Daphnia pulex: one gene and its partners. The protein of the gene in region 1 purifies or fractionates together with the protein of each later gene. This does not show direct contact. Links are inferred from orthologs where the notes say so. Each region holds a gene or a part of one and is shown in the gene's direction. Other genes may lie near its edges. The genes, in order: aurora kinase-like, hsp90 co-chaperone Cdc37-like and serine/threonine-protein phosphatase 6 catalytic subunit-like.

Evidence for each region.
Region 2: the proteins of aurora kinase-like (region 1) and hsp90 co-chaperone Cdc37-like purify together in Homo sapiens (affinity purification with mass spectrometry; 7 studies listed by BioGRID and IntAct, counting the BioPlex papers as one, with this or other methods). This does not show direct contact. The link is inferred for Daphnia pulex from reciprocal best matches to the Homo sapiens genes AURKB and CDC37.
Region 3: the proteins of aurora kinase-like (region 1) and serine/threonine-protein phosphatase 6 catalytic subunit-like purify together in Homo sapiens (affinity purification with mass spectrometry, with the first as the bait; 3 studies listed by BioGRID). This does not show direct contact. The link is inferred for Daphnia pulex from reciprocal best matches to the Homo sapiens genes AURKB and PPP6C.

Annotation. Positions count from the first base shown.
Region 1 is NC_060024.1:9,277,486-9,281,298, forward strand, and holds aurora kinase-like, read left to right. Parts: upstream 1-1,379; 5' UTR 1,380-1,585; intron 1,586-1,646; 5' UTR 1,647-1,651; coding exon 1,652-1,722; intron 1,723-1,859; coding exon 1,860-2,045; intron 2,046-2,126; coding exon 2,127-2,261; intron 2,262-2,323; coding exon 2,324-2,482; intron 2,483-2,559; coding exon 2,560-2,733; intron 2,734-2,819; coding exon 2,820-2,972; intron 2,973-3,050; coding exon 3,051-3,090; 3' UTR 3,091-3,215; downstream 3,216-3,813. Other genes in the region: uncharacterized protein LOC124200621, read right to left, coding at 104-119. UniProt on the Homo sapiens protein: Serine/threonine-protein kinase component of the chromosomal passenger complex (CPC), a complex that acts as a key regulator of mitosis.
Region 2 is NC_060026.1:6,136,670-6,140,502, forward strand, and holds hsp90 co-chaperone Cdc37-like, read left to right. Parts: upstream 1-1,613; 5' UTR 1,614-1,739; coding exon 1,740-1,772; intron 1,773-1,943; coding exon 1,944-2,077; intron 2,078-2,145; coding exon 2,146-2,310; intron 2,311-2,395; coding exon 2,396-2,776; intron 2,777-2,849; coding exon 2,850-3,039; intron 3,040-3,103; coding exon 3,104-3,274; 3' UTR 3,275-3,333; downstream 3,334-3,833. Other genes in the region: U1 small nuclear ribonucleoprotein 70 kDa-like, read right to left, coding at 3,441-3,544, 3,607-3,677, 3,734-3,833. UniProt on the Homo sapiens protein: Co-chaperone that binds to numerous kinases and promotes their interaction with the Hsp90 complex, resulting in stabilization and promotion of their activity. Inhibits HSP90AA1 ATPase activity.
Region 3 is NC_060019.1:6,996,975-7,000,668, reverse strand, and holds serine/threonine-protein phosphatase 6 catalytic subunit-like, read left to right. Parts: upstream 1-1,481; 5' UTR 1,482-1,553; coding exon 1,554-1,625; intron 1,626-1,924; coding exon 1,925-2,020; intron 2,021-2,085; coding exon 2,086-2,293; intron 2,294-2,354; coding exon 2,355-2,434; intron 2,435-2,524; coding exon 2,525-2,983; 3' UTR 2,984-3,099; downstream 3,100-3,694. Other genes in the region: alpha-amylase 1-like, read left to right, coding at 42-80, 144-220, 284-439, 511-522; probable 28S ribosomal protein S16, mitochondrial, read right to left, coding at 821-961, 1,026-1,178, 1,310-1,411.

The DNA of each region.
Region 1 (3,813 bases):
TGCATCAACGGAACAACCAGATTTTAACGTGTAAAATAATTCTGCATTTAATCAATAACAATTCTCGCAAAACAAAATCTAAATTTGAGTTTTAAAAGTTTACCTTTAATAAACCCCATAATGCTGCCTTCGTGAGACTTGCTGCTTACTGAGTGAGAAGATGGAGCAGTCTGCTGATGATTGGAATGAACGCCACGGTTTATATACCTGACCTGAGACAACCTTGGCTTATTACGCTCCTAGGAACAATGGAGCCCTGAAGGTGTGATCCCTACCTTCTCCAATACCTCGGGCACTGTGTCCTTGATATCACTTGATGTCTCGATATAACTTGAATTAAGTACGTTTCGTTTCCAATTATTTTACTGTTTTATCCAGTTTTCCGTCTTCTCTCTATCTTATGAAATTAATACCACGCCATTTGGTAATTACATAACTATAAAAATCCATCCACATACCATCCAAATGCTTTTAATTGTCAGTGGTATGCAAAAAGTCAATTATAATTAGTGTTCAAATGAATTGAATGCAATCTTCTTCTGTCTGATATGATTTTATAGGCTTATTGAATATGTAGAGATGGACATCGGATAACTAGTATTGGTTTCCATTTGCACTTGTAAATCCTGTAAATCATCTAACATTGCTGAAGTAAACCTTCGATGAATATGTGCTAGGCAGTCTTTCAGATATTAAACTGAAATCAATCAAATCTCATCGAATCAATTTAATCGTAAATCAGGCATTTATTGCCATACCTACAAGTCTACAACACATTTTCTTAAGGTGGAGTGAAATTAAAAAATTCTATTGTGTAACGCGCGCGTTTATTGGCAGGCAGATTGATTCCTACATAAAGTGAAATAAAATCAGTTTAGGAGTGTAATAGAACGTTGTATTTTTGCCGCTTTTTTTGGTACTGAATAAAGAATGAAAAAACAATACACGCATTTGATCAATATGTTAAACCGGAGAAAATGAATTTGTGTTTTTTGTTTTTGCGAATTTTTGAATATTAGCATCAGAGGATTGGGACCCAATAGAGAGCCCAAGCACGAAAGCATAGTGAAATATTAGATATGATTATAAATTGACACCAAGATGTAGTTACGATAGATCGGACAGCACCCATTTTTTGATAAATTCAATACTAAGAAAAGCTGACCAAAGCCAAACGGTAAAAAATTTAACCATTTTGGAAGGCTATCTCTTTTTGTTTTTTTGTTGTTGTGCGTTGCAAAAAGGAAGAATAGGCTAATTATTAAAAAAACACATTTTTCTTTTAAGGCATAGAGTTTTGTCTCTCGCATAAGTTTTTTCTTAACAAAGAAAGTGGTTTTTTTTTGCATTTCACGCCGACTTTGGCAACCTGTCACGCTTAGACGCGGCCACTCTGGCGGACCAGACGTGACTTTTTAGACTCCCCCCAACCCCCTCTCATATTCCAGGCTTCCAGCTACAATCCTTTTGCCAATAACAGTATGATACAATCATTGTAGGCTGGCTCCTGGAAAGACCACGGTTTAGGGTTATAGAGTTTAGACATTAAATTACAACACATTTAATTGCATTACATTGCGAATAAGTAAGTTTGAACTTTGTGTTTTTGTAAATGTTTCATGTTTTGATTTTGAAAAATTTGACAGATAACATGGAAACCAAACAGCCACTTAAAGAGAACTCTTCAAACCAACCTACTGTTAAGTTGGAAAACTCGAAGAAGTATGTTATAATTTTTTGTTTTTCAGAACAGTTTTCCAACAAAGTGTTTCTAATTTATCTTCTTGACTTAAATATTTTATTGTGGCATTAATCTTCCCAAATGATGTGTGTTTCTCTGCTTATTTGTTTCAACCCAGATGGAGTCTTGATAACTTTGAAATTGGCCGTCCTCTTGGTAAAGGGAAGTTTGGAAATGTGTACTTGGCTAGAGAAATCAATACCAAATACATTGTAGCCCTGAAGATTTTGTTTAAATCTCAACTACAAAAATGTCATATGGAACACCAGTTGAGACGTGAAATTGAAATCCAGTCACATTTACAGTACATACTAATGAGATCAATGTTTTATGGAAAATTTATATCACTAATGCACATCAAAACTTTTCTGCAACTCTGCTGTAGACATCCCAATGTTTTACGCATGCACGGATATTTTTATGATGAAACTCGTATTTACCTCATCTTGGAATACGCCGGAAAGGGAGAAATGTACAAGTACCTGAAACGCCAACCCAATGGCCGTTTTTCTGAACCACAGTAAATTTTTAAAAATAACAGAAACATAAGTTCTGTGGGAAATTAATTACCCCTATTTTTAGGACGGCCAATTACATGGCTCAGCTAGCTGATGCATTGATATACTGTCATAAATGGAAAGTAATCCACCGAGATATTAAGCCAGAAAATCTTTTACTAGGAATTCGTGGAGAAATTAAAATAGCAGATTTTGGTTGGTCCGTCCATGCTCCTTCGTCTAGGTAAAGTAAAATATGATTGTTTAGTGTAGAACCAAACAAATCGAAGTTATTTATGTTATATTGTTTTTGTTCAATAGGCGTGAAACCATGTGTGGGACATTGGATTATTTAGCCCCCGAAATGATAGAAGGGCGCTCTCACGACGAACGTGTAGATTTGTGGACTCTTGGTATTCTTTGCTACGAATTCTTAGTGGGATCACCTCCTTTTGAAGAGAAAAAGCAAGATCTCACTTACCACCGTATTTGCAAGTATTAATTTTTTCGAATAATTTTCCAATGTGGTTAAGAGGCATTCTAAGCGTTTTCATTTTCCATGCCATGATTTCGTATGGTAGAGTTGACTTAAAATTTCCAGCACATCTCTCTACTGGAGCGAAAGACTTGATTGCTAAATTACTCAAACCACGAGCAGAAGATCGTATCCCTCTACGAAAATTACTTGAACATAGCTGGATTCTACAGCACCTTTCCGACGAAGTTCGATCCAGGTATGATTTTTTTAAATAATTTTATTTAAAACTCGTCTTCAAATATAATTGTGACGCATTACGTGTGTATTTCATCAGGTTACCGACTTTCCAGATAATGCAACCCAACAAATCATAAACTTTGATATTTAATGGCAATCTAACCATAAATTTTTAAAGTAAAATTTCAATTTGTAAATTCCATTCCCGATTGCTTTTATCTCTTCTCTCAATTATGTAATACAATAAATACTTTTCATAAATGCTGCTCGCACGTAAGTTATTAATGGCTAAGTTTATCATTCACGTTATTACATCAAATATTATGCAAATTTATACTAAGTTCGCCAGTCGTCCTTTACATGCTATTCGTTCTCTATTTTGTTTCCCGTTACATCATCCTAATAAATGTTAAAGGATTTAATTTTAAAAAGAATTTGGATTATCCTTTATGGAAAAAAATCACAATTGAAATTTATTCAATTATTTTAAAATTACATTTATTTTTTAAGCATGTATAAAATAGCTGCTAACGACGAAAGTAAGTTTTATTCATTGAATGAGTTCAAGCAAAAAGCAAATCCCTAACAGAAAGTTCCGTGGAAATTATTACAATGAATCAAAAACTAGATTTTCAATAGAGCATCAGTCGTGGATCTCTTTCTAACTGGCAGTAATGATTAGATTTGTAAGAAATTATGAGTAAGAATCTATTTTATTATAGCACATCAAAACTACGCGGTAGGCACAACACCAGATAAATATTAAACAATCAAACAATTGATTTAACGAATAATACTTCAAATAGTTGAGAAAAAACAAATATCTCCACATGCTTCAAAGCACAACTGAGATGGGAAAA
Region 2 (3,833 bases), on another chromosome or scaffold:
AGATAAGACTTGGGGATTTTGCATACGACGCGTCATGGACGTTGCCGTGCGTCAGGGTTGACACCTTAGTGATTTTGTACCAAAACGCAACAGACGCTTCGGTCCCAACCCTACTCACCCGATGAAGGACTAAAAAACATCTAGACCTCTCAGAGAAAAGATTCCCTATTTCGAGAGAGTCGATTTTAAAGAACAGATAAAACGTTATTTTTCTGAACAATTCAAAAAATTAGCTCTGTCATTCCAGGAACATTTAGCCAACCTGAAAACCCAGAACCCGTTACTGGATACAATGAATGGAAAGATTTAATCATAGAACCATTTAAGGACCCATCTGAGAATCAATTTTTTAAGAACGAACTGTCTGAAATTGAACAAAAAGCTAACGAACGAGTAAGAGAATTTCGCCCACGTTTAGAAACATGATTTGTTAAAGCCTACAACGGAATGCTTTTTTCCATAGTACAAATGAAGATATGACTCTCAAAAGAAACGACATTCGAAGGAAAAAAAGAATGCATTTGAAGGAGGACTCAAAAGGGAGTTACTCCCAGGTGAAAACAGAGTACTGCGCGATGCTGACTACGCAACATGTGAAGTCACAGCAACAGATATAGAAAGAAGTTTAGCACGCAAAAAATCAACTTCTCACAAAAACCGTCATTCACAAATAAGCGCTATTAGTTTACACAAAAAATTACTTTTAGTATTATTCGAATTACTTTAATTGTCTTTTAATGATTTATTTTAAGTTTATGGTAACCGCCATAAACTCCGTGTTAAACACGGCTCGAAGCCTCGAACATTTTGTCGCGCTGTTAAATTAATTTTAAAATAATAAATGTTAACGAAAATGTAAAAAATTTGTAACACATTTTTATCAACAGTGTTGTGGCCGATATTTTTTTTTTACCGCGAGCCCGGCCCGATTAACAGAAACAAACATCATGTCAAGGTCGTGATCTTTTTTGCGATCGCCGCTAGATGGCAAGGGGAAATGATTACCAACGTTTTCAAGAATCAAGACAAAGCACAAAGCAATTTGCAAAAATACATTTAATCACTGAAACTTTATAAACTTTAATGTATAACAATAATTTTTTATATAAAAATAAAAACAATAATTTATTGGTGGTGCTATTTAAAAAAAGGGTTTTTTTATTAATTAAAGATAGCGACGATCGCAAATCTGATCGAGCGATTTCTGGCCTGCAATTCCGATCCCGGTCGCGTTTTTCAGTTTGGATCGCGATCGCTAAAAATTTACCGTGGTCGTGATCGCACGATCGAACGATTGCAATCGTCACGACATTTTTTATTAATAAAATAAGTATCAGTTTATAATGAATAAATTTTTTGAATTAAGACCCCTATTTCCCGTATATAAATGTTTAATGGTTCATTTCTTTAAGATCCCACGCTACGATTTTGTCCGGGTTTTATTATGTAAATAGTGTGTAATGTGTCAATAATGTTCATTTTTCCTAAAGGCTAAAACTAAAACCCCCCTTTTTTTAGCTAAAATGGCCTTAGTAGAGACGAAGTTGCTTTAGTCCATTCAGGAACAAGCTCCACCCATCGCCAGAGGGGTGTACCTCTTTGGAGTTATCACTTAGGCAAAGGTTCAGTTTTCTGCCACCACTCTGTCGAGTCTACAATCGTAGATTCGTAGTGTTAGCGTTTAGATAATCTGTCACTTTCCACTTTTCCATTAAGTTCTTAACTTTATCGCGAATAAAATGGTAGACTACAGCAAATGGAAAAATATCGAGGTAAATTGTTGCTTCAAAAATGTTGTGTTGTTATTTTACCATATTTTTGCGGGTTCTCTAACCTTCTATTTATTGTCAGTATAGTATTTAATCGTAATTAAGTATCGTAATTAAGTATTCGTTATTTATATGTTTCATTTAAACACTCACGTACTTCATAATACTTTACAGATATCTGACGATGAGGATGATACACATCCTAACGTTGACACGCCTTCTCTGTTCAAATGGCGACACGAAGCTAGATTAGAAAAAATGAAGGAAATGGAACAAGAAAAAGCTCTGTTTCTCAAAGCAAAAAATGAGTAATGCTAAATAACTAGCTTTAATGTTTTTGTTAAAGTTTACATTAAATCAAACTTTTCTAACAAAGGAACACTGCCAAACTAAAAGAAGTTAAAAGTAAGTATGAACAGGTGATGAAAGAAGGTATTGATGTGACAGATTTGAAAAAGCAATTGAGTGAATTAGAATCGAAAAAAATTGAACTCGAAGATCATGAAGAACAAATGAAAAAAAAGGAAAAGTTGATGCCATGGTATTTAAAAGATTCACTTCAATATATCCTAATGTGATGTCTAATTTCAAAGTTTAATTGTGGTTTTTTTGCATATTTTTTTTAGGAATGTAGATACAATTAGTCAACCTGGATTTTCAAAAACTGTGGTCAATGTTGACCAACCCAAAAAAGTGAAAGAGCTCACTGAAGAGGAGAAAGAAATCAAAACACGTGAATTTTTCAAGAAACATGAGAAAAATCTTAAGGCATATGGAATGCTACAAAAGTATGATGATAGTAAGCGTTTCCTTCAAGAAAATCCAGAGCTGGTTTGTGAAGAAACAGCAAACTATCTCGTGATTTGGTGTATTAATTTAGAAATGGAAGAGAAAACAAGTTTAATGGAACATGTTGCCCATCAGTGCATTTGCATGCAATTCATTCTTGAATTATCCAGGCACCTTAACAGAGATCCAAGATCATGTGTGTCTTCATTCTTTTCAAGGTTTATCTTTATATTAAGTTGTCCTTTATGTAGCTATAACTAAATGAATTGTTTACTATTTTATCTCTTTTAGAATTCAAATCGCAGATGTTGAGTATCGTAAAGGATTTGAAGACGAACTTGTAGCTTTCAAAGACCGTATACAACGGCGGGCGAAAGAGAAAATAGAAGCTGCAATTGCCGAAGCTGAGGAGGAAGAAAAGAAAAAACGACTTGGTCCTGGAGGGTTGGATCCCGTTGAAGTATTTGAAAGTTTACCGGAGGTATAATTGAGCAAGACACATAAATTTCCTTCCACATATATGAATCATGTGTTTTGTTGTGTAGGTTCTTAAGGATTGTTTTGAAAAACAAAACATTGAGCTTCTTCAACAAGCAATTTCAACACTACCTGAAGAAGAAGCACGGTTTCATATGAAAAGATGTGTTGACTCCGGATTGTGGGTACCCGACGGAAATGTTGCTGGAAATATTGCAGAAAATGTTGCAGAAAATTAAAATACTAGTTTGGATTATTATATTCATTAATAATGAATTAATACACTGGGGCTTTTGAATAACGTGTATTTGACGTTTTTACCTCCAGTTTCATACTCACCTCACTTTAAAATTGTAAAGTTAAAAAGCCTTAAGAACAGACAAGTTACTGCTATAAAAACATACGCTAGTATTCTTCAGTCTGGAATTGCGACTCTTCCACTTCGTATTTAATGTTGTCAGGATCATATTGATTATAGCCATCATATTGTTGGGCCGTATAGTCATAATCTGCAAATTTCAATTCCACAAATTAGTAATAGATATTTTTCATTAACAGCTAATTCCAATACCATCAGGCGGTTCTTCCTTCACTCGCACTTGTTCACCATCCTCCCGAACATAGTCCCTACGCTCTCGTTCCCTGTGAAAAATTATTCATTAAATTCTGAAGTTGAATTCGATAATTTGATTGCTTACTTATCCTTGTAACGATCGCGACGTTCCCGGCGATCCTTGTTCTTGTCTTTAACTCGATCTTTTTCTTTGCGACGCTCATCGCCAGAAGCGACTTGACCAG
Region 3 (3,694 bases), on another chromosome or scaffold:
CTAATCAAATTTTAAATTTAATATTTGTTGATTACATTTAGGAACTACAATGAACGACTGGTGGGATAACGGAAACAACCGTAAGAAAATTTAATTTAAAAAATGAAAAAATAAGATGAATTACCTATTTCTGAATTCCATAGAAATTGCTTTCTGCCGCGGTGGCAAAGGTTTCATCGCCATCAACAACGAAGGCTCCAACATGTCCCAAACTCTTCAGGTATTTTTGTAACAATTCAAAACATTTCCAACAAACAAATAATCATATACTACGAATTAATAGACATGTCTTTCGGCTGGAACGTACTGCGACATCATCTCAGGCAACTTGGTCAACGGACAGTGCACAGGCAAATCAGTTACAGTGGGCTCTGATGGCAAGGCTTTGATCAGTATCGGCAATGCTGAAGATGATGGAGTACTAGCAATTCATGTTGAGGTAATAAATGGCGAATGAAATTATTATTGCAGTAGACAAGTCTCAACCTTTGTCATTTTTTCTTTTTTTAGTCGAAGTTGTAAACGCTACTCCAAAGGATCCTTAAATATTACATCATGGATAAAATTTAAAAAATTCGAGTGTTCAACTGATTAATGCAAAAAATGTCTAATCCCTACAATTTACAAACTGTGTGAAATAAAAGTTTCAAAAATTGATTTTCAAATATCCTATTTGAATTACTTTGTCTACTACAAAAGAGAGGGGAAAAAAAGCCAGTTGGCAAGGGCTTTAAAAAAATTTATGATTTCCTACATACCAGTCAACAAATTACTTTAACAAAATGATTTATTCTGACTATATAATGAAAAATACAGCAAACTAAATTTTGGGATTGTCAAGAGGAGGTGCAATTCCTTTGATAGGCTGTAATTTTCTTTCTCTAGGTGGTTCTCGTCTGTTCTTCCAAGACTGAATCAGAGTTTGAGGATGATTAGGCAAAAATCCAGAGAGACCAAGGAGCTATAGAATAGTTTAATTAGCATTTAAATTGAAGATCAATATACCTAGCATTTAAAAATTTCACCTGTGCAACAGGATTACTCATCCCCGCTCCTTGAGCAAGCCAGTATTGAACTCTTTCAAAATTAACAGCGACTAGTTTTTCATTTTGGCTGTTGGGCATGGCATCATAACTGCCAACCTGTTCAATTACTGGACCGTCAAAATTGTCCCTCGTCTATAAATTCAAGAGAAACCAAAACGCGACAGTTTAGACGTGCCATCCAATCATTTCTTACATAGTATTTATAGTTTCTTTTTCAAAGTAATGGATATTTTCATATGTGAGATGTAACCTTTTTGTTTTACCTTTTGAACGACGATGTGGTAAAAAGGTCGATTAGTGCATCCATGTTTATTTAAGCGAATAACTTTGCCGATTTTTGTAAATGTGGGAATAGCAGACGCCATGATGAAACTGAAAAATAGGAGCGACAGCTACTGACGAGTTTCGACAGTTCTTAGTGGACGTCAAATGTTTGGCCTAGAAGAAAGTCGACTCGAAATTATAAGAAAAGTTCTCTCCAATTAATTGGTTCTGTCACGAAGAAAAATGGTGGCAGATGTAGACAGATGGATAGATATAGCCCGCGAATGTAAATACCTACCTGAAAATGAAATGAAGGTGAGTTGACAGATAACATGCTGACAGTTTTTAATAGTGCTTCAATTAAGGACGTGAAAACCGTGGTAGAACTTCTGTAATACGCGTCTTTTCTCCTGCCAATCGACACCTTACATAAGAAGTTTTGTCATGGTTTTGTCGTCAGTATTTCAAAACGATTTATATGCAATAAAACTTGTGAAACACTTAAAAATGTGATTTCACTTACATTTGGTTGTTCCTAAGCGAGGACTTTAAGCTGTCAGTATGGTTCATGTCAAGAAATTATTCTTTAATCATTTTTTTCTTCTTATCTTCAGAAACTTTGTGAATTGGTTTGTGACTTGTTGCTGGAAGAATCAAATGTACACTATGTTTCAACTCCAGTTACTGTCTGTGGAGATATTCATGGCCAGGTATTTTTTTTTTTAAATATTTCAATTTATATGGATAAATCCTTTGTAAGTAATTATTTTTGCAGTTTTATGACCTGGAAGAGCTCTTCCGAACTGGTGGACAAGTACCAGACACAAACTATGTTTTCCTTGGAGATTTTGTTGACCGGGGATACTATAGTTTGGAAACCCTCACACGGTTGCTTACATTAAAAGCCAAATACCCGGACAGGATCACACTATTGAGAGGAAACCATGAATCCAGACAAATCACTCAAGTCTATGGCTTTTATGGTACCACAAATTATTTTTGAGACTCATTTCATCTTTAATGATTGCTAACATTTGGCTCTAGATGAATGTCAGAACAAATATGGAAATGCAAATGCATGGAGATATTGTTGCCAGTTATTTGATTTACTCACTGTTGCTGCGGTAAATAGCCCACTTTGGTGCAATCTTTTATTAATATTAATTTGCTTATTTTTCTATTAATTTTTTTTTCTATTGGCTTCTTCATTATAGTTAATTGATGGTGAAGTGTTGTGCGTGCATGGCGGCCTTTCCCCTTCTATTCGGACGCTTGATCAGATCCGCACAATCGAAAGAAATCAGGAGATTCCGCACAAAGGAGCGTTTTGTGACCTAGTGTGGTCTGATCCTGAGGATGTGGAAACTTGGACAATTAGCCCTCGAGGTGCCGGCTGGCTTTTCGGCTCTCGAGTCACCCATGAGTTTATGCATCTCAACGGATTAGAGCTGATCTGTCGTGCTCACCAATTGGTTCACGAAGGCTACAAATTCATGTTCGACGACAAGCTGGTGACTGTTTGGTCAGCGCCAAACTACTGCTACCGCTGTGGTAACGTGGCTGGTATCTTGGCGTTGAACGAAGACAAGTCTCGTAAGCCTAAACTATTCAACGCTGTTCCCGACAGTGAGCGTGTTATCCCACCATACACAACGACGCCCTACTTCCTGTGAGTTTTAAAAACATAGCCCGAAATTTCTCCAACTGCTCTGCATTCTTTGATAATAAATAAACACATGTAAAATCAGTTCAATCCTCCTTAAAGTCAATAAATGCTGTTTTGCTGCTGTCCTATTGTGTCTGGCACATTGAGAGACGACAAAAAAGTTTCCTTTACTTTTCAGTGTCAGTTTTGTACAAAATTCCATTTTTTTCTCGCCAGGCAAAATTGAAAAGTTGAAAAGATTTCCCAACTTAAAATTTACCAAGTCAGTAAAAAGGTTGCTAGATGGCGTTGGAGTAGCTATATTTGTCAATTCAAAAAATGTGATCCGCCCACTCCGGGAATTTATTACTTCATTTTTTGTTTTTTTCCTTACAAAAAGATTGTGATTGTGAGACGACTTTTACCATTGTTTGATAAGAGAGCACTGTTGTTACACATAAAAAAAAAAAAAACTGCTAAACAATCGGACGAATCGAGATCGCCTGGGGCAGTAAATCCTCCTTGAAAGAGATCGCCCCCTCTCCCTCCCATTTTTCACCTTTCTTCTCTCTCATTTTTCACCTCGGCATGGCTGGAGGCTATTTTACTTTAGTCCTCACGAGTCGACGCCAGCAGCTTCTCGCCAAGAGAGTGTGTCAGTCTAGCGAAACAATTCTTCGAGTGCTGTTGTTCTCTGAAGACAATCCAGTCAAGTTTAGGCCTGTTCCAGTTCCTGTGA